Rhinolophus ferrumequinum: one gene and its partner. The protein of the gene in region 2 interacts with the protein of the main gene of each other region in a pairwise test. Links are inferred from orthologs where the notes say so. Each region holds a gene or a part of one and is shown on either strand. Other genes may lie near its edges.

Evidence for each region. The genes of interacting proteins can lie anywhere in the genome.
Region 1: the proteins of MYO5B (region 2) and RAB25 interact in binary tests that used the Homo sapiens proteins (3 or more experiments, as listed by UniProt). The link is inferred for Rhinolophus ferrumequinum from reciprocal best matches to the Homo sapiens genes MYO5B and RAB25.

The regions. Positions count from the first base shown.
Region 1 is NC_046305.1:672,280-682,401, forward strand, and holds the start of RAB25 (ras-related protein Rab-25), read left to right. Parts: upstream 1-5,663; 5' UTR 5,664-5,917; coding exon 5,918-5,960; intron 5,961-9,061; coding exon 9,062-9,257; intron 9,258-10,122. Other genes in the region: UBQLN4 (ubiquilin-4), read right to left, coding at 777-884; ragulator complex protein LAMTOR2, read left to right, coding at 2,035-2,102, 2,397-2,559, 4,124-4,213, 4,425-4,481. UniProt on the Homo sapiens protein: The small GTPases Rab are key regulators of intracellular membrane trafficking, from the formation of transport vesicles to their fusion with membranes.
Region 2 is NC_046302.1:41,028,140-41,037,942, forward strand, and holds the start of MYO5B (unconventional myosin-Vb), read right to left. Parts: upstream 4,281-9,803; 5' UTR 3,958-4,280; coding exon 3,931-3,957; intron 1-3,930. UniProt on the Homo sapiens protein: May be involved in vesicular trafficking via its association with the CART complex. The CART complex is necessary for efficient transferrin receptor recycling but not for EGFR degradation.

The DNA.
Region 1 (10,122 bases), on a different chromosome or scaffold from region 2:
GGGGTGGGCAGCGAGGGTACTAAAGGCTGGCTTGGGAAGAGTTAGACTCCCAAATCTATCAGCGCTCCCAAACCAGTGCACTTGCAAAGCCAGGCAGCTTCCAGATCCCTCCCTTCCAACCAGATGGCCTATCTTAAGCCCCGCCCATGTGAATTTCTGGAGCAGCCACAGGGGGGTGGCGAACCCAGGCAACACTCCCTCATCGGATACGTTTTTATTGAGCACCTACTGCACACTGTGTAAATCCCGGAGGGCTGAGAACCAAATGTAACCACCTGGATTGGAAAGCGCAGGAAGGATCTGGGCAGAAGGAAATCCTCCCCCCACTGCCGGGGCGGCGAAGAAGGCGGGGCGTCCTCCCAAGCGCACAGTAGGCACCCGAGGTCTCCGCGGCGTCCCCCGCGCGCTCTCCCGGCTCAGCACCATGCCCGGCCCCCATTTTGCCTCGGCGCCCCGAACCCCCATAAGTAACCGGGGCGCAAGCCCAGGGTCCTTCCCCTTCCCTGCGCAAGGTGTCCCCCTCCCCTCTCTCCACCACGCCCCCAGTCCAGGCCACAAGGCAAACCCCGGCCTCCCTTCCCCAACACGCGTGCCATGCTCCTCCAACTTACCCTCGCAGGACGCCCCTGACCCGCCTCTCCTCCCTTCTCGCTCCTCCGAGTGCCGTCTGGGCCCCCGCCCTCCTCTCCCAGGCCCTTCTTTGCGCCCGGCAGTCCCGAGCCACCCCCCTCTCTTCGCGGACCCCTCCTCCGCGCTCCCCCCGACGACCGTAGTACCTCCTTGACCGAGGCTCGATCGCAGATCACAATTTCCTCCTTGTCCTTGGGGGTCTTGACGGTGACCCGAATGGGGGGCCTCGTCTCAGCCCCGCTCGGCTCCGCCATGCCGCCGCCGCCACCCGGCCGCCCGCCAGCCCGCTCCGGCTCCTCCTCCTCCCCGCCCGCCCCGCCGGCCCGGCTAGGCTCCGGCGCCTCCAACACTCCCCTCTCCTCCCCTCCCCTCCCCAAGGCTTCACCGCCCCCTCCGGACCAGCCGCAGCCACAGCGCCCCGGGCGGACTGGGGGGGCCACTGCAGCAGTGTCCGCCCAGGGCCGAGCCTGGGGTCCCGCAGCCTGGTCTGGGCCTCGCTGGGCGGCGGCCCCTGGGGCGCTCGGGACGGGGGCGGGGCGAGTCCCTCACTGCTGGGGTGAGGGGCGAGCGCCCCACGGGAGACCACAGCCCATCCGAGCGGGCCAGAGCTGAGCCGAGGTCCCCTCCGACCCAAAACAGCTCCTGCCCCCACCACGGGTCACTCCCGCTGCGGGACAAAGGACTCTGTGTCGCCGCTTTATCTCCGTCCCCTGCGATAGCTGGTCTTTTATTGAGAAGCCCAAATCCTTCTCGGGCCTGGGGCCTCTGCCGACTGGTAGGATGAATTTTCCCACTTCTGGACGTCCACCTAAAATCTCATCTCTAGAATTGATTTCATTCCCCCGAGGATCGTGGCCTGAATGAACTCTATTAGGTACTGTTCCAGCGACCTGGGTTTTGCCTGCATGGCCTTCCCGAGCCTTAGTTTCCTCAATAGTATCTATGGCTTCATCACCCAGAATTGTGCATAATGTAGAAAATTGCTTTGAAAAGCAACCAAAGGTGTGCCTAACAAACACAGGGATTTTATTTTTTTATTTTTTTAATTACTGAGTCGTGGATTGTCAAGCGGACATGACTTTTCTCTCCCCGAGGGGGTTAAATGTCCTTCCAATACCGCCAATGTCCTTTCACTCCCGCTCTTTTCCCCCACAACCGCGTGGTCTCAGTGGAAAGGCGAACTATCGTTCCCAGGATGCCTCACGAGGCCTCAAGGAACTACAATTCCCAGTGCCCTCCGCGGTAAAGCGGGGTTGAGTCAAAACTACAAAACCAGGCGGAGAAACTACAACTCCCAGGGCGTTCCGGAGCAGGTCAGCTGAACTACCGGAAAGGGCTGGCGGAGGCCCGCAGGAGGCAGTTCGGAGGTCTGGGTGCAAAAACCCAGGTTTGGGAGCTGCAGGCATGCTACGTCCCAAGGCTTTGACCCAGGTGCTGAGCCAAGCCAACACTGGAGGTGTCCAGAGCACCCTGTGAGTGCGGACCGAGGACCCGAGCGACGAGCACTGGAGTCGGGCAGCGCGCGGCTCTCCGAGGGAGGGGTGGGGAAACATCTCCGGGAAGGGAGGAGGCAGAGTGGGCAGCCGCCTTGGAGGGCCCCTCTCGAAAGGGGAAAGCGACGGCCTGGGTGCTCTGGGCACCTTCTAGGACACACTCAACCTAGACCCTTGCTTTCTAGAAGCGCCAGTGGCGGGAGCTGGGATGGGAACCCAGGACTCTTACTCCCCATCCTGAGCACGTCGCTGCCCCTTCCGGTTCCTCGCCAGGCTGCTGAATAACGAGGGATCTCTGCTGGCTTACTCTGGTTACGGGGATACTGACGCCCGGGTTACCGCCGCCATCGCCAGTAACATCTGGGCCGCCTACGACCGGAACGGGAACCAAGCGTTTAATGAAGACAATCTCAAATTCATCCTCATGGACTGCATGGTATGGAGTGGGAAGCCACTTCCTCTGTCCCCCAAAGGGATCCCCGGGGCGACCTGGACCCGGTCCCGGATGGTTGGAGGGGCAGGATCTCGGGAAGATTGCTAAGAGTTGGCCCGCAGCACCATTTATCATAGGCAGAACCCTGTGCATCACAGTGGTGAGGAAGGGGCCCTGGACCCCGGGTCTGCCTGGGGTTCTGGTCTCAGCCAGCCACTTACCGTCTGTGGAACCTTGGGTAAGTTACTTAACCTCTCTGAGCTTCCTTATCTCCTCTCTGAGGTGGAAACAATAAACCCCGGTCCCCACCTCAAGGGGCTGTGGTGAAGATCAACTAACAGAGTGGATGTAAACTGTAGAGTGAGGTACACACAAAGTGCTGTCATGCCAGAGTCACTGACTCACAGGCCTATAAGAGTCTCCAGACCCTTGTCTAATCCCTTGAGGAAGGAAAAAATATGTAAGTTAAAAAAATAGTATGTTAGATTTCTAAAAACGCTATGGAGAAAAATAAAGCAAGGAATTGAGATAAGGGTGGCATGCGCCAGGGATAATCTCACTGAACAGGTGACATTTCATCACAGATTTGAAAGAAGTTGGCAAGCCATGTGGCTGTCTGGGGCATAAACATTTCTGATGGAGAGAACAGCAAGTGCAAAGGCCCTGAGGCAGAAAGGTGCCTGGTCACAGATCGACAAGGGAGATGTGGCTGGAGTGGCATGAGAATGGGGGGAGGATGATAGATGATGCCAGACAGGCAGTACATGGTTCCTAGCACACACTGGATACCTAGTGAAAGTTTGCTGAACCGAATTGAGAAGGCCGCAAGAATGAAGGGTTTCCACTGTACTCAGCTACCTACCACTTCCTGGCCCCCATTCCAGCCAAGGATGCATTCCAGTTCAGCCGATGACTCCTGGGTGCCCAGCTCAGACCTAGTGCTATAGGGCAATAGCTTTCAAACATTTGACCACAGCCCAGCTGTAAGAAACACATTTGATGCTGGAGCCCCGTGCAAACAATCACTCGCTCAAACAAGTTCCCTGACTACATGCAATGCATTTCTCTTCATTTCTCTTCTTTTCCTTCCTTTTTTCTTTCGATGCTAATCAACCTTCTTAATTAATCTCCTAACCCGGACGTCGGGTGTGCAGTTTGAAACACATTGCCATTGGAAAAGAGAACTAGGAGTGGGGTTTCTGCTCTCAAGCCTCTTATAGTGTCTTGGAGGTGAACCCATAATAATAACATAGCCCATTAGAAGAGCCCGGAATTCCTTCCCGTGTGCTAGTACCCTCAGCAACTGGGATGAGGTAGGGGTTACAGAAAGAGAACCGAGTTTCTGGGAGATTGAGTTTTCTGGGGTGACTTGGTTCGTGGCTGTGCTGAGGCTGGAATCTGGGCACAGGACCCCATGTCCAGGGCTGTGGCCAAAGCCCCCAGCTGAAGCTCCAACCCTGCCCGGGGCGTGGAAGGAAGATACAGTCTGTCTCACGAGGAGCCCGTGGGGAAAGGGGGCTTAGGGTGCCAAGCAGGGCCTCCCATCCCACGATGTCACCCCCACCAGGAGGGCCGTGTGGCCATCACGCGAGTGGCCAACCTACTGCTGTGTATGTATGCCAAGGAGACCGTCGGCTTCGGGATGCTCAAGGCCAAGGTATGTGTGCTCGTTGCTCCGCCACCTGGGCCCGGCCCCTGTGCTCCGTCAGGGTCCACTCCCGTCCCCACCGCCTTCCTGGGTCCTCATGTCACCCAGTCCCTGTCCACTGGGGCTGGGGGCTGGGTGCTCGGTATGGGGAGTCGACCTGGATTTGGGGTCCCTTTCGTGGCAGGCCACATGTGGGACGCTTTTCCTCCCCCTCCCGCAGGCCCAAGCCTTGGTGCAGTACCTGGAAGAACCTCTTACCCAGGTAGCAGCGTCGTAAGGGGCACTGGTGGAAGCTGGGGTCAGGCAAGAGAGATGACCATTGGAGGGGCAGGGCCCCCTGGGGAATCCTTCCTGGTGTGTGGGGGGAGGGGAGGGACTTTGTTTTTTCCAAGAATAAATTTCAGTCCTGTCTTACGTCTTGGTTGCTTTCTTGGCTGGGAGGAGTCAGGGGATGGAAAGGAGCAGGACTGGCTTACGGGTTCTTCATGTCCTGCGCCCCCACCAGAATCTCCAGTGGAGTGGCCTCACCTGGCCCTCGCCACTCAGAGTCTCACCCACCTGGTTGGCAAAACCTTGGAAGTGAGCTCCGAGGAACGGGGCCAGTGGGCGTCATGTTGAACAAAGAGAATATAGAGCCAGGGAGTGCAGTGTCCGTAGGTCCCGACTTTGGCGGGGTTGCCTTTCCTACTCTTGGGGTTGGGAGGGGGCCACCCCTTTCCTCTCCAAGGCCTTCACATTCTGACGCGCAGCTCCAGGTCTCGAAGCCCTCTGCAGACACCATTGCTTTCCGGTGAGGCCTCAGGTCCTGGGCAGGGATCTGGAGAAACCAGAAGACCTCTCAGGCCTTCGTGTCCTCACCCTGGCCCTACGCTTGCACCCCTCACCCCACCTGGCTGTTTCTGTCCAGGTCTCCTCCTACCTGTGTCCTTAGAGCAGGTGTGGGCGGGAAGCTACCAGCCCCTTTCCCAGTGCTATAGAAAGGGACCCATCGCAGGGAAGCCTATAGGTAGCAAGTTCCAGCTCCACCCAGTATGAGAAATGCTGCCCCTCCCAGGCCCAGAGCTGTCTGGGAGGGGCAGGAATTGCCGGGCCTAAGATGCAACTCCCAGAGCTCTGCGCACAGATAGGTGACTGCCACCCCATCAGCCTCTCCCCTGGGGCCCCCACCAGAGGCTCTAAAGGAAAAGCAGGAGGCCAAGCCAGCTTCTGCTCCTTGAGGGGCCTTGTCACTTACTGGCGGCTGGGCCCCCCTGGGCTGCAGGTGCTAGGAGCCTAGCGCCAGGCACTCGGTCCTCAGCTGTCTCTCGGAAGGTCCCGTCTGCCCCAGCTTCCCCACTACCACCCCCTGGAGCCTGCTCACCTCATTGCGGGAGCCTAGGCGGAGAGCAGACACCCAACCTGTCTAACCTGTCTGACGTCACCGTCTCCACCCACCTGGGCCCCAGGTCTCCAGTGCCCTGCTCTTCCTGTTCTCAGCTTCCGTCCTCTCAGCTTCCTTACAGCACCCCTACCTGCCAGAGCGGAGCGTCCCCAGGCCTTGCCTGGCCTGACACAGGCCCTCAGTCCCTCTGGCCGGCCGGAAATTCTTTTACCCCCAATGAGAGGAGGGGTGGACCCAGGTCTCTTAAGAGCTGAAGGTTGAAGGTGCTGAGCCAACGCGGAGACAGTCACCTGTGCCCCGAAGACACTTGTACCCTCTTATGTGGAGCCGAGATGGGGAACGGGACCGAGGAAGATTATAACTTTGTCTTCAAGGGTGAGTTGGGGTTCGGAAAGAGGAGGCCTGAGAAACCCAGAAAGAGACCAACAGAGCCAGAGGCAAAGCCTCCTATTTTGTTTGGTTTTAATCTCTAACCAGGAATCCACCCTCTTGCCCCCGCCCCCCCACCCCCTGGGCTCATCATTTGGATAAGAAAGAAAGCTGCAGGGAGCTGGGAAGGTCTGGTGTCTGGGGCGGCCCGAATGCTCTACTGTGTCAATAATGTGTTCCTCGGTCCCTAAGAGTGCCAGTGAGGCTCCTCTGCCCGTTCCTAATGCCACATCCCTAGGAATAGTCAGCCACTGCAGCAGAAGGGGCGGAGGTCAGACTTCAGAGAGGACTTCCCTCAGGCAGACTTATGGGGAAGAAAGTCATTTTTCTGGGCAGATATACAGAAAAGGGGACAAAGGAGGGTCCCGCTCTGTCTGTCATGGGGCTAGGTGGAGATATAGGGAAGATGTTGTGCATTGAGCAGGGGCTAACAGGACTCTGAGGGCTCCTGGGGCCGTGGCCTCCTCGGTCTGTCCCTTGGCATGTAAAGCCAGGCACTGGGTTCAGCGTGGCTGTCCCTGAAAGTGTGCACGTGTCTTTCCTGCTCTTTATCTCAGCCCGTGTTTGTGTCCCGTCCTCCTGTTCCCCTCCCCCGTTGTTCGCCACCCCCACCTCCTCACCCCCTTCAGGGCAGGGTGGGCTGGCGGGGCTGTGGTTCCCTGTCCAGCCACCCCACCCCACTGCCTCTCCCAGCCTCAGCCCCGCCCTCACTTGGGACTCAGGCAACTTGAGGTTGGGGAACCTGTACTCCCAGCATCTTTCCCAGGAAGGGAGACAGGGTAAAGGTTAGCAATAGTCTGGGACGATCACACTGCTACCGTGTTTCCCCGAAAGTAAGACCTAGCGGGACAATCAGCTCTAATGTGTCTTTTGGAGCAAACGTTAATATAAGACCCGGTCTTATTTTACTGTAAGACCGGGTCTTGTAATAATGTAATATAATTAATATAATGCAATGTAATATAATGTATAATAATATAATGCAATAAATATAGTATAACACCAGGTTTTATATCAATGTTTGCTCCAAAAGATACAGTAGAAGTGATTGTCCAGCTAGGTCTTATTTTTGGGGAAACACAGGAGTAACTACTGTTTATTGAACCCTTACTGTGTGCTAGCCGCTGGCTCGTTAATCACCACAACAGCCCCCAAAGTTCTCTTTCATTTTGAAAGCGTAATGGTCAGGAGGCAGACTGCCTTCCGATTTCAGCCCTGCCGCTTAATACCTACTGCAGGTTGCGGGGTCTCCAGAAGTTTAGGATGCAAGATGCTTATTATGGACCAACACCAGTGAAAGGAAGGGAGAGGGAACAGGATTGGGCAGAGAGGGAAGTGAAAACGCAAGACAGGGTCACCAAGCCTTAGCCAATGGGCCGGGAGCCCCGTAATACCTTTGCCTTGCTGGGGCCCTGGATGCAGGCTGCCCAGGGCGCGTGACCTCGGGTGAGGCAGCTGTCTGCCCCACGCAGGAGGAGGCAGCTGCTGGAGGAGCGGAGCGGGCAGCTGGAGGCTGCCTGCTGACTGCACTCCCTGGGCTGGGGCAAGTCCTTCCTGGAGGACACATCTGGGCAGCACACCTGTGTTTTTACGCACTAGCTATGTTATCTTGCTCAAGTCATTTAACCCCCCAAGCGCCTCCTTCCTTTGTCTGTAAAAAATGCAACGGTGGAACTAATGGCACTTGCCTGTGGCACTGTTGTGAGGATGAAGTGACTTCATATGTGGAAAGCCTCTGAGATAAATGTTAAGAATTAGATCTCCATTTCACAGACGCAGATGAGAGACAGGGTATGTAGCTTACAAAAGGTCACAAGGCATCACAAGCCCTGGTCTGTCTGACACCAAAGGCCCGAGCCTCTGGAGCCTGAGGACAAGGCTAGGCCTCCACCCCCCAGCAGGGTGAGTGGGGATGAGCTTCCCTGCAGGGGAGAGGCAGGAACACACACACACACACACACACACACACACACACACACACACACACACACACACAGCCATACTGTTCCCAGCTCTTTCCTGCCTTACACAAATGAGAAATGCCTTAAGCTGGAGGCGGGTGCATTTCTAGGTTTTATAAACAAGGAAACAAACCCAGAAAAGGTGAGCCACTTGCTCAAGGTCACATAGCTAGTCAGAGGCTGAGAGGGAACCAGTCCCTGGGCACCAGCATGCCTTTCCAGAACCACCCCGATGACTGACTTCCTCTCGTCCTGCTGCTCAGCTCAGTACCGGGCAGTGTGTTGGTCATGCTTACGTCAGCCGCCACTGGACCCCAGCGGCTCCCTGCCCCTGAAAACCTGAGGGTAACCGCACTGACCCACCAACCACAGTCATGGCAGTAACGGTTTTGCACACTCACCACATCCTGGCAATGTCTCATTTACTTCTTGCAACAACCCACAAGACAGGTACTAGTGTTATTCCCGTTTTTCGGATGAAAAAGGTCAGAGAGGTTAAATAACTTGCTGAGGGACACACACAGCCCCAGAGTCTTCACCTTGCAAGACGGACCCTGCTAGGGGACAACTGGATCATAGCTTCTTACACATTCACCTCCGGACGTGCCATGTGCCAAACTTTCTCCTCACCCACATTCCTAGTCACACCTCTGCTCCTGTGCAAACACACACCCCAGCCTCTCACTTATCCTCCCAGCTCATGTACAGAGAAACAAGCACAACAACGTGTCCCCTAGCCGGGAATGTGCACCCTCCCCCAGGCCTGCCATCCCTGTGCAGTCACAGCCCTGCTAACGTCCCCATGTAACACCCACGAGCAGGCCCCAGACATCATTCAGCCCGGACCCAGGCTGACTGCAGCCTTGTCTCAATGGACGGGCCTGGGAACTTGAAAGCACCAGACCCTTAGCTGCGTCCAGCTCCCAGCCCTTCTGCCTCGATGGACTCAGCAAGCCCAGCGGTCAGGAGCCTCAGCTCCCTCCTCGGTCTTCTGAACTCAGCTCCCCTTTGCTGGTGGGCAGACCCCGGGGCTCAGGAAGGCTTGGGCCCTCTGCCCACTCAGCCCTTCTCTCTCCATTCCTTCAGTGGTGCTGATCGGAGAGTCTGGCGTGGGCAAGACCAACCTGCTGTCCCGCTTCACGCGCAATGAGTTCAGCCACGACAGCCGCACCACCATCGGGGTGGAGTTCTCCACGCGCACTGTCATGTTGGGTACCGCCGCCATCAAGGCTCAGATCTGGGACACGGCTGGCCTGGAGCGGTACCGAGCCATCACCTCGGCGTGAGCCCCGGGCTGGGGGTGCTGGGGAGGTCAGGGGACACCTCCAGAGGACAGGTGGGGCACAGGAAGCAGGGCACACAGCCATGTGCACCCTGCAGGGACCGCAGGTCGCCACAGCCCTGGCTGAGGACACACCAGTACTGTGAGCCACACAGAGTCTGAGGCCCGGTCTAGTGATCCTGACCACTGGGACCCAAAAGAGTCATTGCCACCACAGCCTCTGCTGTGTGCCCAGAAAGGCGCAGGTGCCTCACACTGGGCATTTTGTGCCATCCTCTGGGTACCATGGCCGTGAGGGGCTGCCGTCACGAGGCCCAAGCCCGTGAATCCAGGTGGGGCTGGGATGGGGCAGGTCCAGGGGCTGAGAGCACCCTCACAAAGCACTGCAACCCTCACGGTCTAACCACCAAGGTGAAGGGCTGGACCCCTCTGCTGCATTTTACAAAGACTCAGAGGACACCACAGGAGAGTGTCTCCCAGCCAGTGTCAGGCCACATGTGAGAAGGGGGTCTGTGTGTGTGTGGTGGGGGCAGCGCCTGCCAGGGGCTCTTAAGGGGTCGCTCACCTGACCTCTACGAGCCTCAGTGGACTGAGTCTTCAGTAAAACGGGAGCACTTAGATGTCACCATCAGAAGAAGCTCCCGCTGGCTCGAGGACCCGGGCTAGGTGCTTGTGAGGACATGTCCAGTCAGGGCTACTGCTCGGGGGCAGTGTTTAGCTGGCCCTAGAAGGATGGCCACAGGAGCAGACGGGCCTGTGGGTCGGGCAGCCACGTGAGGCAGACCTTGGAGGTGGAGCATCCAGGAGCCCAGGTCCGTGCTGGTGGATGGCAGGGGCTAAGATCAGAGCCAAGGACCCGAGGAGG
Region 2 (9,803 bases):
CTTTCCAGCTCTCAGCCTAATAGAGATGTGGCATGACACAAAAACTGCCAACAAGGGGGGACAGGGCAACCTTGTTCAGTGTGTACAGGTAACAGGCAGAGAACATGCTGTGTGAACTGGGTAACAATTTGCCTGCAAACTTTGAAATTCTGATGGTTACCAGCAGGCCCCAAAAGGGCCCATTGCATTTATAGGCCTACCTGAGAAAGGGGAGCAGAGAGGAAAGGGAGTGGCGGCTAGGGATGGGAAAGGACTTACATTTGGGAGGAACCTGCACTACCTGATGCACAGGTAAGGGACAGTTCGAGTTCACCAGCCTCACAGCACACGAGTGCTCTTCTCCAAAGGACTGACTGACCCCGAATTGGAGCCCTTAGGATAAAGGCCTCTGGGCTCAAAGTCACCACCGTCATACACAGGGTGTGTCGACCAGTAAAGCAACCTCCCAAGAGCCCCCAAAAATCCAATTGCTCAGACACCACATATCAATTAAAAAATCAAGCAGGAAAGGCTTTTAAAGGGAGTGATTTCAATCTGGTGATTTCCCACTCCACTGGTTAGAATCAAAGTAGTATACTGAAAATCACAGTACTTGAAAGAGCAATACTTCAATTCTTCCTCCAGAATAACCCACAGTTGTATTATTCCTCCCGAGGGAAAGGTTACGTATTTTACTTTAAAAAAAAAAAAATCAGACTATCGTCTGCAATTATCATAATTAAATCATACTCATCATGCTTGCACAGTTGGGGTGTCTTCCTGGGACCTGTACAAATCAAAGGAGTCCCTATTGTCTTTTCCTGTGGGTTGGAAACAAAAGTAACACTTGCCACATCCGAGCCAGCTGTGTGAGAGCCCTGCGTAAGCGCCACCTTTCTGTAAGAGTGAATGAGGCTGACTCACCTGAACATCAGCCTCCAAGTGTATGACATGTACTCCGAGTTTCTTTTCCCATCCAGAAAAACCTCACTACAAAGAAAGCAATTTCTCAAATGTGAGGTGTTGGGTTTTCTGAAAACAGGAGTGCCTTTGTTAATGGGAAGGGCCCTTTGCCAATGACTCAAATCAACTCCAAAAAAAAAAAAAATATATGTATGCACAGCACATGAGCCAGCCGAAGAGAGCTGACAGAGAGCAAGAAACTAACTTGGAGGGAGGGAAAAGGAGGAAGCCTTCTCTTGGATAACTAGGAATAGACTAATACACTAAGTTCTTACCTGAAACTATTTATACTTAGCTAATTTATACATTTAAGTGCCTCATTCGAATAATGTCTTCCAACTGTGTCACTAACGCAACAGGTATAATCAACAAAGGGCTTCAAAATTTCCATCCCAGGTGTAAATACTGCTGGCATAATAGATAATTATTCCCATCATATATAATACACTGAAGGGTGTGCCTGGATCCAGTATTCATCACATTAGAAAAGCCCCACTAGCCGGTTAAAAACAAAAGGGAACACTGGCTACTTTGATAATACACAAAAATGAACAAATCATCTCCCCCAAGAAACAAAGTGAATATAAATAGCAGACACAATTTCTCTGTATAATTTATGAGTCATATGCATACAGAGAATCCAGCTTAGCAAGTGAGGTGACAATGGTTAGGAAACAATGCACCGTTTCTCATAGTAAAGCCTAACTGCGTAAGTGTGTTTAACTCTGCCAGGAAGAAAAATAACAGCAACACAATCTTGAAGATACAGCATTGGTCATGGAAAATCTTCTCAAATTCAGATTTATAGACTTAAAAGTGTTTAAGAACTAGAAACCTATTAACACAGGGATATACAGTCCCCCTAGCCCTAGGAAGAAAGTCTAATACTATTTGGATTACGCCAACTCTCACACCAATAAACTTAAAAATATGTGTCTTGTATGTTCTCCCAAGACCTTTGCCTGGTGAAACAGTTTTGTCCATCTCCATAAGTCCAGAAAAAGTACACTAAAACTTTAGCTCAGACTACCCCTAATTCATTTGTAATAGTTAATACGCAATATACTCATTTCTAACATGCAATAAAATTTTTAAGATTGAGTGGTCTCCTCTGAAAGTGTTGTCTTTAAAAGCAATCCAATATTAATTCTTTTTCCAATAATCAGGGCTCCAAAAATTAAGGGTTTATTCAGTTATCCATTAGCTTCATATAACGTTGCAATCATCTAATAAAAGACTTCAGGATACATTGCAGGTATATTCACTTAAGTCACTCATTTCACTTGGGAGTACAAGTGGCATTTTCGTGAACTTTCCTGTAACAAAGCTCAGCCCTTTATACTTCAGATTTTTCCCTGACTCACAGGTTTCCAACCTTCAGTCAAAGTTCCTGATAACCCACGTCAGGGAAAGAACTGAAGCCTGGAGCTCTGAGAGCTCCTCCCACGGGTAAACGGGGTGGGGTGCTTTTCCAAAGCCAGAAGCACCCGAGATTCCCCACACACACCCCCACCTTTCCGGGAATCTACCCTCCGACCATTCGTGATCGCTGCTATCGCTGTCAGGGAAAGCCTGGTGGGGATGGTGCAGGTGTCCCCGGCTGCTGAGACCCGCCGCCAGCTGACTTACATCCTCTGCGGTGGCGGCCTCAGATCATCCCAGTTCAGCCCTGCCCCGCTCCCGGAGGTACGATGAAATTAGAAAACTTGCTAAAGGAAAAATAGCCAGCCCACCCAACAGAAGGACTGGCCCACGTGCGCGGCAGCGGCAAGCAATCGCCAGGTGAGAAGGCGGAAGTGGCCCTTCCTCCTCCACCCAGACCTGTTGGCCCGGTAGGTGTCCTGAGGATCGCACACCCACGAGTGTGCGTGCACCCCCCCCACACACACACACACCTCTGCATAGAGGCGAGCACAAGGCATTGTCCAAGGTGCCCCGGCCACAGCCAAGACAGGCAGGCAGGAAAGGCGTGGGAACATCCAAAACTGAAGAATGGGTTGGAGGTGGGCACGTGCTTTAAATGCCCCGACCCCTCTCACCCCCAGCGCCAGGTTGAAACTCGAGGGTACCTCGGCTGCGGCTGCGCACCAGTGGGCGTAGGGGGAAGCGGTGACTGGTCCCTAACTTTAACCATAGCAACTGCCGCGGAAGCGGGGCGTCTCCACTTTTCTGTCCCCGACTGAGGACGGAGCCCCATACATCCATTCTAACCTTGCAGGCACCCTGGAAATCCACACTCCACACCACCCGCACCCCCGCCAGGTTACTCCAACCCCCTCCCCACAGTAACTGAAGCCCTCCCGGTACCCATCCAGAGGGGTCACCTCCGAGTGCCCCTCCCTGTCAAACTATGAATGCGCTTCCCTGGGATCTCCAGCGATCCCATGGCTTACGTCCCTCCACACCTCCAGCCGCTGCACCCCTCACACCTCGTTGGGACCCCTTCTCTCTCCACCCCCAAGTGCAGGAACATCCCCTCCAAGTTCAGGGTTTCCCCTCATTGACCTCGGGAGAAAAGGAAGGCTTACAAGCCTTAGTGGGTCGACCTTGGGAGCTCACGCTGAAGAGCACCTGGGGTAGGGTCCGTGACTGAGATGGGCGCCACCGCAGGGGGCTGTCCCCACGCAGCGGGTTCCGAGCTGGCCCCCGCGGTCGGTTCGGGGAATTCAGCCCGAGCCGAGCCGGAGTCGGGGCGAGAAAAGCGATGACCGAGTGTCGGGGAGGAAACCAGAGCCCTAGCCAGGGACAGAGCCGCGGCCGGTCAGTGCCAGGCGCTCCCCGAACAGCCAAACTTTCTCCTCCACCCCGAAGTTAGGGGCGCCGAAGAGATGGTGAAGGGGAGCTTAAGAGGCATCTCAGGTGCCCCCCGGCTCCTGGAGCAGCAGGAGAAGGCGCCCGGGAGGGCCTCGGTGGCCTGGCGCGCACCGCCCCCGCCCCACGCAGCCCTCACCTGTGCCCGCCCGGCCGCGGCGCGCGGCCCGCACTCACCTGGCTGTAGAGCTCGCTGACCGACATGACCCCGCGGGCAGGGCCGAGCCCGGGGCGCCGTGCCTGCAGACTGCCCTCGCTCGTGCCCCGGCGGCGGCAGGTCCCGGCTCCTCGCTGCCCCGGTGGCTCTCAGTCCACGGCCAGCCCGCCTGGCGCCATCTTCCTGGGCTGGCCGAGAGTTTGTGTGTTTCTCGTCCCTTTCCCCCGACCTGTCCCGCCGGCTTCCTGGAGGCGCCGCGACCGGCTCGCTCCCTGCCGGCGCGACCTTTACTCCCGCGGCAGCGGCGTCGCTGCGGCCGGGCCGGAGTTGCGGGCGGGCGGGGGAGGAGGCCGCGCGGCGCCGCTCCCGGCTCAGGTATGGGAGGAGGTGCCGGCGCCGGGCGGCGGAGGGAGGGAGGATAGCGGGCGTCAGAGCGGGCGGCGGGTGTGTGCCGCCGCGCCTTTGCGCCCAACGGGGCCGGGCTGGACGCGCCCTCCCGCGTCCCCGCCGCCGCGGGGTCCTCCGGCCTGGGGGCGGGGCGGGCGAGGAGCGGGCGGCGGCCGCCCCCTGCTGGACGCCGCGCGCACGCGGGACAGGTGCGCGCCGGCTGCCGCACCTGCCGCGCCACGCTCCGGGTCCACGCGGGCTGTGCCTCGGGGGGTTGTGCCGGGGATGGAGGACGGACAAGTACGCAAGAGGAAAGTAACCAGAGAGGCGAAGAGGAATAAAAGGAGGGATGTCTACGGCGGAAAGGCTCCATACACTGTCCTCTGTGTTTTACGAGGCTGTAGCCAATACTTTCATTATTTAAATTCAGTTATGTCGTAGATTGTTATGAGGTGACGGGGCTATGCCAAAGATTGTCTCCGCCAAGATGGGCTCCCTGCGCTGAAATCTTAATCAGAAAGGTGGGAGTCGCAACTCTTCTCCACTTTGTTTGCCCGTCCCCGCCTCCCCCAGCTGCCAAGTAGGCACCCGCCACCATCTGGGAGGATTGTTGGCTTCTCTGGGAAGTGTCACGTTTTCTCCCCTCGCACACTCTCAGTCCCTCTGCTACTACCTACCTCATCTATTTTTGTCCCCTCTGCCAGTGGCATGTGGCTACCTGCAGCAGCTTCAGTCCCTCTTCTACTTCCAGCAAAAAGTAGACATTTCAGCCAAAAAAAGAAAATAATTGGCAGGAGTAGGTGGAGGGAGAGCAGAAGCTGTAGGAGGCGATGGGACCTTGGTTTTCTGAAGGTGACATTTGTACCTGAATGAGGAATGGCCTCTGAAGGTGGTTCCCAACCAAAGCGTCCATCTACACCAGCTGGAACAGTTGTCCTGGAGTCCTGCCCTGGAAGGGTTTTTAAACTCATCCTATTTAAGGGCTTCCCACCTGGCGTGCAAGATCCCCTTTTAATTCACGTGTCTGGCCCTTCTTACCTGTGCCTCCTCCATGAGAATTATCACCTGGGGAGCTTTAATAGCTCTAAGAAAGGCCCCCCTCAAGAATTCTGGTATATTGGCCAAGACTGGGACCTCAATACCTGAATTGTTTTAAGTTCTTCTGTAATTCTAAAGAATTGTCCTTTCAGGATTGACAAATGCAGTAACGAAAGCTTGGGCAACTCTCCTTGGAGCTGAAATGGGAGCTCTTTCTATCACTGGCAAGGGCAGAAAGGAAACAGTTCCATCCTTTCTCACTCAAAAATTTGTCTGCATACTTTCCTTCCCTGTATTCTAGTAGTTCTCCAAGTGTGGCCCCAGGGCTGTCAGCATCACCAGGGAACTTATTAGAAATACAAATTATCAGTCCTCCGGCAGACCTCCTGAATCAGAAATGCTGGGGGTGAGGCCTGAACTCAGCATTTTCACACCTCCCTAGGGTTTCTCCCCCTGGGACAAAGACAGCCCCCTTGGGACTATCAGTTAGTTCCCCACCGCTGCCCCAGGTAACCTTAGCTTCTCCACCATAGTGCTCCACCAGCAGCCCCTTCTCTCTACCAGCAACTCTCCACTGGCTCTTGACTTTTTCTCTGTTCTCCTTTCCAGCTTGTACCAGCTGGCTCCACTTACTCACACCCAGTCCCTCCAGAATTCATTGGCTCTCAACACTTTCTGCACATTGGAATCGCTTGTACAAAAACGAGTGCCTGGCTTCCACTCCCAGAAATTCTGTCTGGGGTGCTGCCTGGGCAAAGGGATTCTTAAGAGCTATGAAGTGTTTCTAATGACAGCCAAGGTTAAGAGAGCCGCTGCCTTAATTCCTTCCTTAGCGGTTCCTCTCAGCCCCATCCTAGTGAAATTGCATTCTTCCTCTGAAGCACAGGGTCGGGGGAGAGGGAGAGAGTAATGGACTCTCCCCACCATGTTAATCTGTCTCCTCCTATCACTTTTCTCCTCTTGTCTTCCCAGCCTCTCTAACCACACCTTCTCCATGTCCTTTTCTAGCTCTGCTTTTTCTTCCTGATTCCTGAGTAAAACTGTGGCCCATTTCCCAGACCTCGTCCTTCTTCCTCTCCACACCCCGTTTCACCGCTTACCACAAATCCAATTCTCATCTTAATTTAGACCCACCTTTCCACCTGCCAGACAGGCAGCACTTGCAATCCCAATGAGACCTCTGGCTAACCTGAAACTCATTTATTTCCATCCTTCTTCCCCCGACCCGGTTCCAACTTTCTGGCTTCCATCATACCTGGCACAAATTAAAATCTCAATTCACGCTGATTGAACTGAACCACATCCCTGAGAAGACTACTACTCTTGGCCAGAACTCTGTGAATGTCGAATCCCACAATCAGATATGCTCTTTCCCTCCTTTGAATAAAAACATTTGAAAACTTACTTTGTGCCAAGGGAACTTGCCAAGTGTTTTACTTCTGTGATCTTGTTTGAGCCTCAGAGCAACCTCTGAGGGAGGTTCAGACAGAGGAATGGTGAGGGCTGGGGGCCTCAACAAGAGAGATGGGGACATCATAACTGCTTTCATATATTTGAAAATCTGTCCTGTGAAAGAGATGAGGCTGGTTCTGCTTAATGAAAGCCAGACCCAGACCACAGGGAGGAAGTTTCCGGGTGATAGACATCGGACAACCATGAGGGACAAGTACAAGTTCTAGTAAGAAAAACTGTTCATGAGAGGAGCAGGCATCTCCTGAGAAGGGAGCTCGCTTTCCCTGGAGGATTCAAGCAGAGGCTGGATTCTCATTGTCAAGGATGCTATAGAGTCTACCAGTCAGTGGGAGGGTGGGCTATACCCCTGCTGAGAGGCAGTGGTTGCCCCTGGTGGCTGCCTTCCATATCCCTGGTGTATGACACCACAGCAAGTTCAGAGCTGGTGTCATAAATGCCACATGGCTAACCTCAGGGAAGAAAACCCCCCTTTCAAAGCTTGTTCCCTGGGAAAGTTTGCTGTTAGTCCTTTATAACTCAGTAATTCGGTCCTGTGTTCCCTTTAGGAGGGTTTCATTTAAAGCTTGACTTGAATCCTAAATGGAATGAAACGCTTTGCTTCCTACTAGGCATCCTGACTGCTGCAAAAGGATTGGATTCTTTTCTGGGGTAATAGGGAGAGGGGTGGACTTTACGCTCTCCCAGACCCTCTGAAATCTCTTCTCCATAGACACTGTTCACAAAGCCAAGGGCTATTGTATAAATAATTGTTATGAAACACACACCTCTGAAAAAAATGGAACGACAAATTTATTGGAGCTTGGATGGAAAGAAGGGAGGAGAAAATGAGGTGGCATGGATCAGAGTAAACGTAACTGCATCAGCCTGCATGCCCACGGTCTGCGCATGCCCACAGAATTAATTCTGAGCCTCTAGTTCTCCAATATCTGGGCACACTCACTGCCACCTTGCTCTCAGGTAAGCAGTTCCCTTCCCAGAAGACGGCCAAAGCCACAATATAGTTTGTCCCTAGCATCTTGCACCCTCTTCTGGACACTTCCCAACAGCTAGTTTTATTTTTGCGTTTTCTCTCATTTTCAATATTTCATAATTCCCTGATCTTTCAAAGAATCAATTTTACCATCTCATTTTATAAGAGAGAAAACTGAGGCTCAGAGAGGAGGTGGGACTTGCCCAAAGCCACACAGTTTGTTGGTGGCCAAACTGCTCTTGGCCTGGACATTTCTAGGAAGAACTAGGAAGCTTGAGTAGCAGAGGATTTCACTCACAACCTCCCTCCACCTGCCTTGCTCAGAAAATGTATCTTTCATCCCATGTCACCCATTAATAAATCAAAATTGAACCATTAAACCGAGATCTTGCTGTGGGGCCCCAGTTTCTACCTGATTCCAGGTGAGACTCCCTCATGATGAAGTAAGGGAATCAGAGCCAGAGGTTGGGCTGAGGACGGGCCATGGGGCTTGTATTAATTACCTAATCCTGTAAATGAGCAAAACCTACCTGGAACCTGCTGTTTCCAGTCCTACGCATCCTTTAAGGCCATGATTCTCAGTCTTGGCTACACCTGGGAATCACTTCAAAAAGATGGATCCCAGTGTCTCATCCCAGAAGCTCCAATTTCCTTGTTCTGGTCTTTCAACACTCCCAAGTAATCCTGAAGCAGAGCCAAGGTTGAGAGCCCCTGCTTTAGGGCCAAACCCGTGTTTCACCTTGTCCACGAAGCCTTCCATCACCTAATGGATGTGTGACAATACTGCAGTGTGCTGGGTCCTGTGCCAGTCCACGCGGAGGTGGCTTCTCCAGGGCCACCCGCTAGCAAACACCTGCCGGCACCTCCGATAATATTGGCATCCCAGCCTCAGCAGCTTTGGAGTGTGGGGAGGCATATCATTTAGGATTTTATTTTTATGCTCTAGCTAAAAGATTATGGTCTACTTCTATTTCAACATGTGTTACTCCATAAATTAGGCTGTGAAGTTCTCCTAGACATAAGTTGTCTTTTGACTCAAGCATCTTGCTATTCCTGCTCAAGCTGGTTTTAAAACTTATTCCTCAAGTGGTCAGAGAAGTAACTGTCCGGCCCCTGGCCCCACACTCCGCATACCTCTGCACCACTTGCAGGTAAGCTCAGCCCCAGGAGCTGCAACCAGTTGTAAGTCTAAAGTCAGCAAATTGTCCGACTCCGTCTTGATACTCATCTTGCCTTGAACTACTACCCAACCCCAATAATTGGAATCCTGCTTTATTCCCTACAACCAAGCCGCTGTCGCAGTCTCGTTCTAGGAACCGAATCCTTCTGTTGTCCTACTGTCCTCTTCTTTACCTCCCTGCCATAGCCAGGTTTTCCTGGAACAAGACTCAGTGTTACCCAGCACAGTCTTCCCTTCATCTATGATCCCATCTTTAAGCCCAGGTCTCATGACTTTGTCCCAATGTTTGCAGCAGTTCCTTCTGGATACCTAGACCTGCCTATATCTTGCTTCCAGATTCCCGATGCTATGATGACTCACCTGTCAGGATTCCTGTGACCACTGCTGGGCCTTCCCAGACTTCCTGCTCCCCCACCCCCACCAGGAGCTGCTTGGCTATTGGGTCAGTGGTTCTTAATCAGAGTCCCATGGAGCACTGAGGAAGCACTGAGAACTGTCACTATTGGACCCCCAAATACTGATTACAATGTAAAATTAATTTTTGTTCTGACTGAAGACACACACTTTTATGAACAGGATGCCACTTGCTTTGAGAGGGAACAAGGAAGGTAACATGTTTGCTGGCACATCCCGGGCTGAGCGTGTGGGTGGTGCAATCAAGCACCCCACCAGCGTGCAAGAGATCAAGTGCAGAGCAGACCGGCCTGGGTGCTTCTACAGACACTGGGAGACATCATGCTGCTGCAGGAATGGCCATGTTGTAACGGCCGCCAATTTGTCTAGTTTTGTGTCTTTTGATCCTTTCGGATCTATCAACAGATATTTTTTAACATACACTTCTTAAG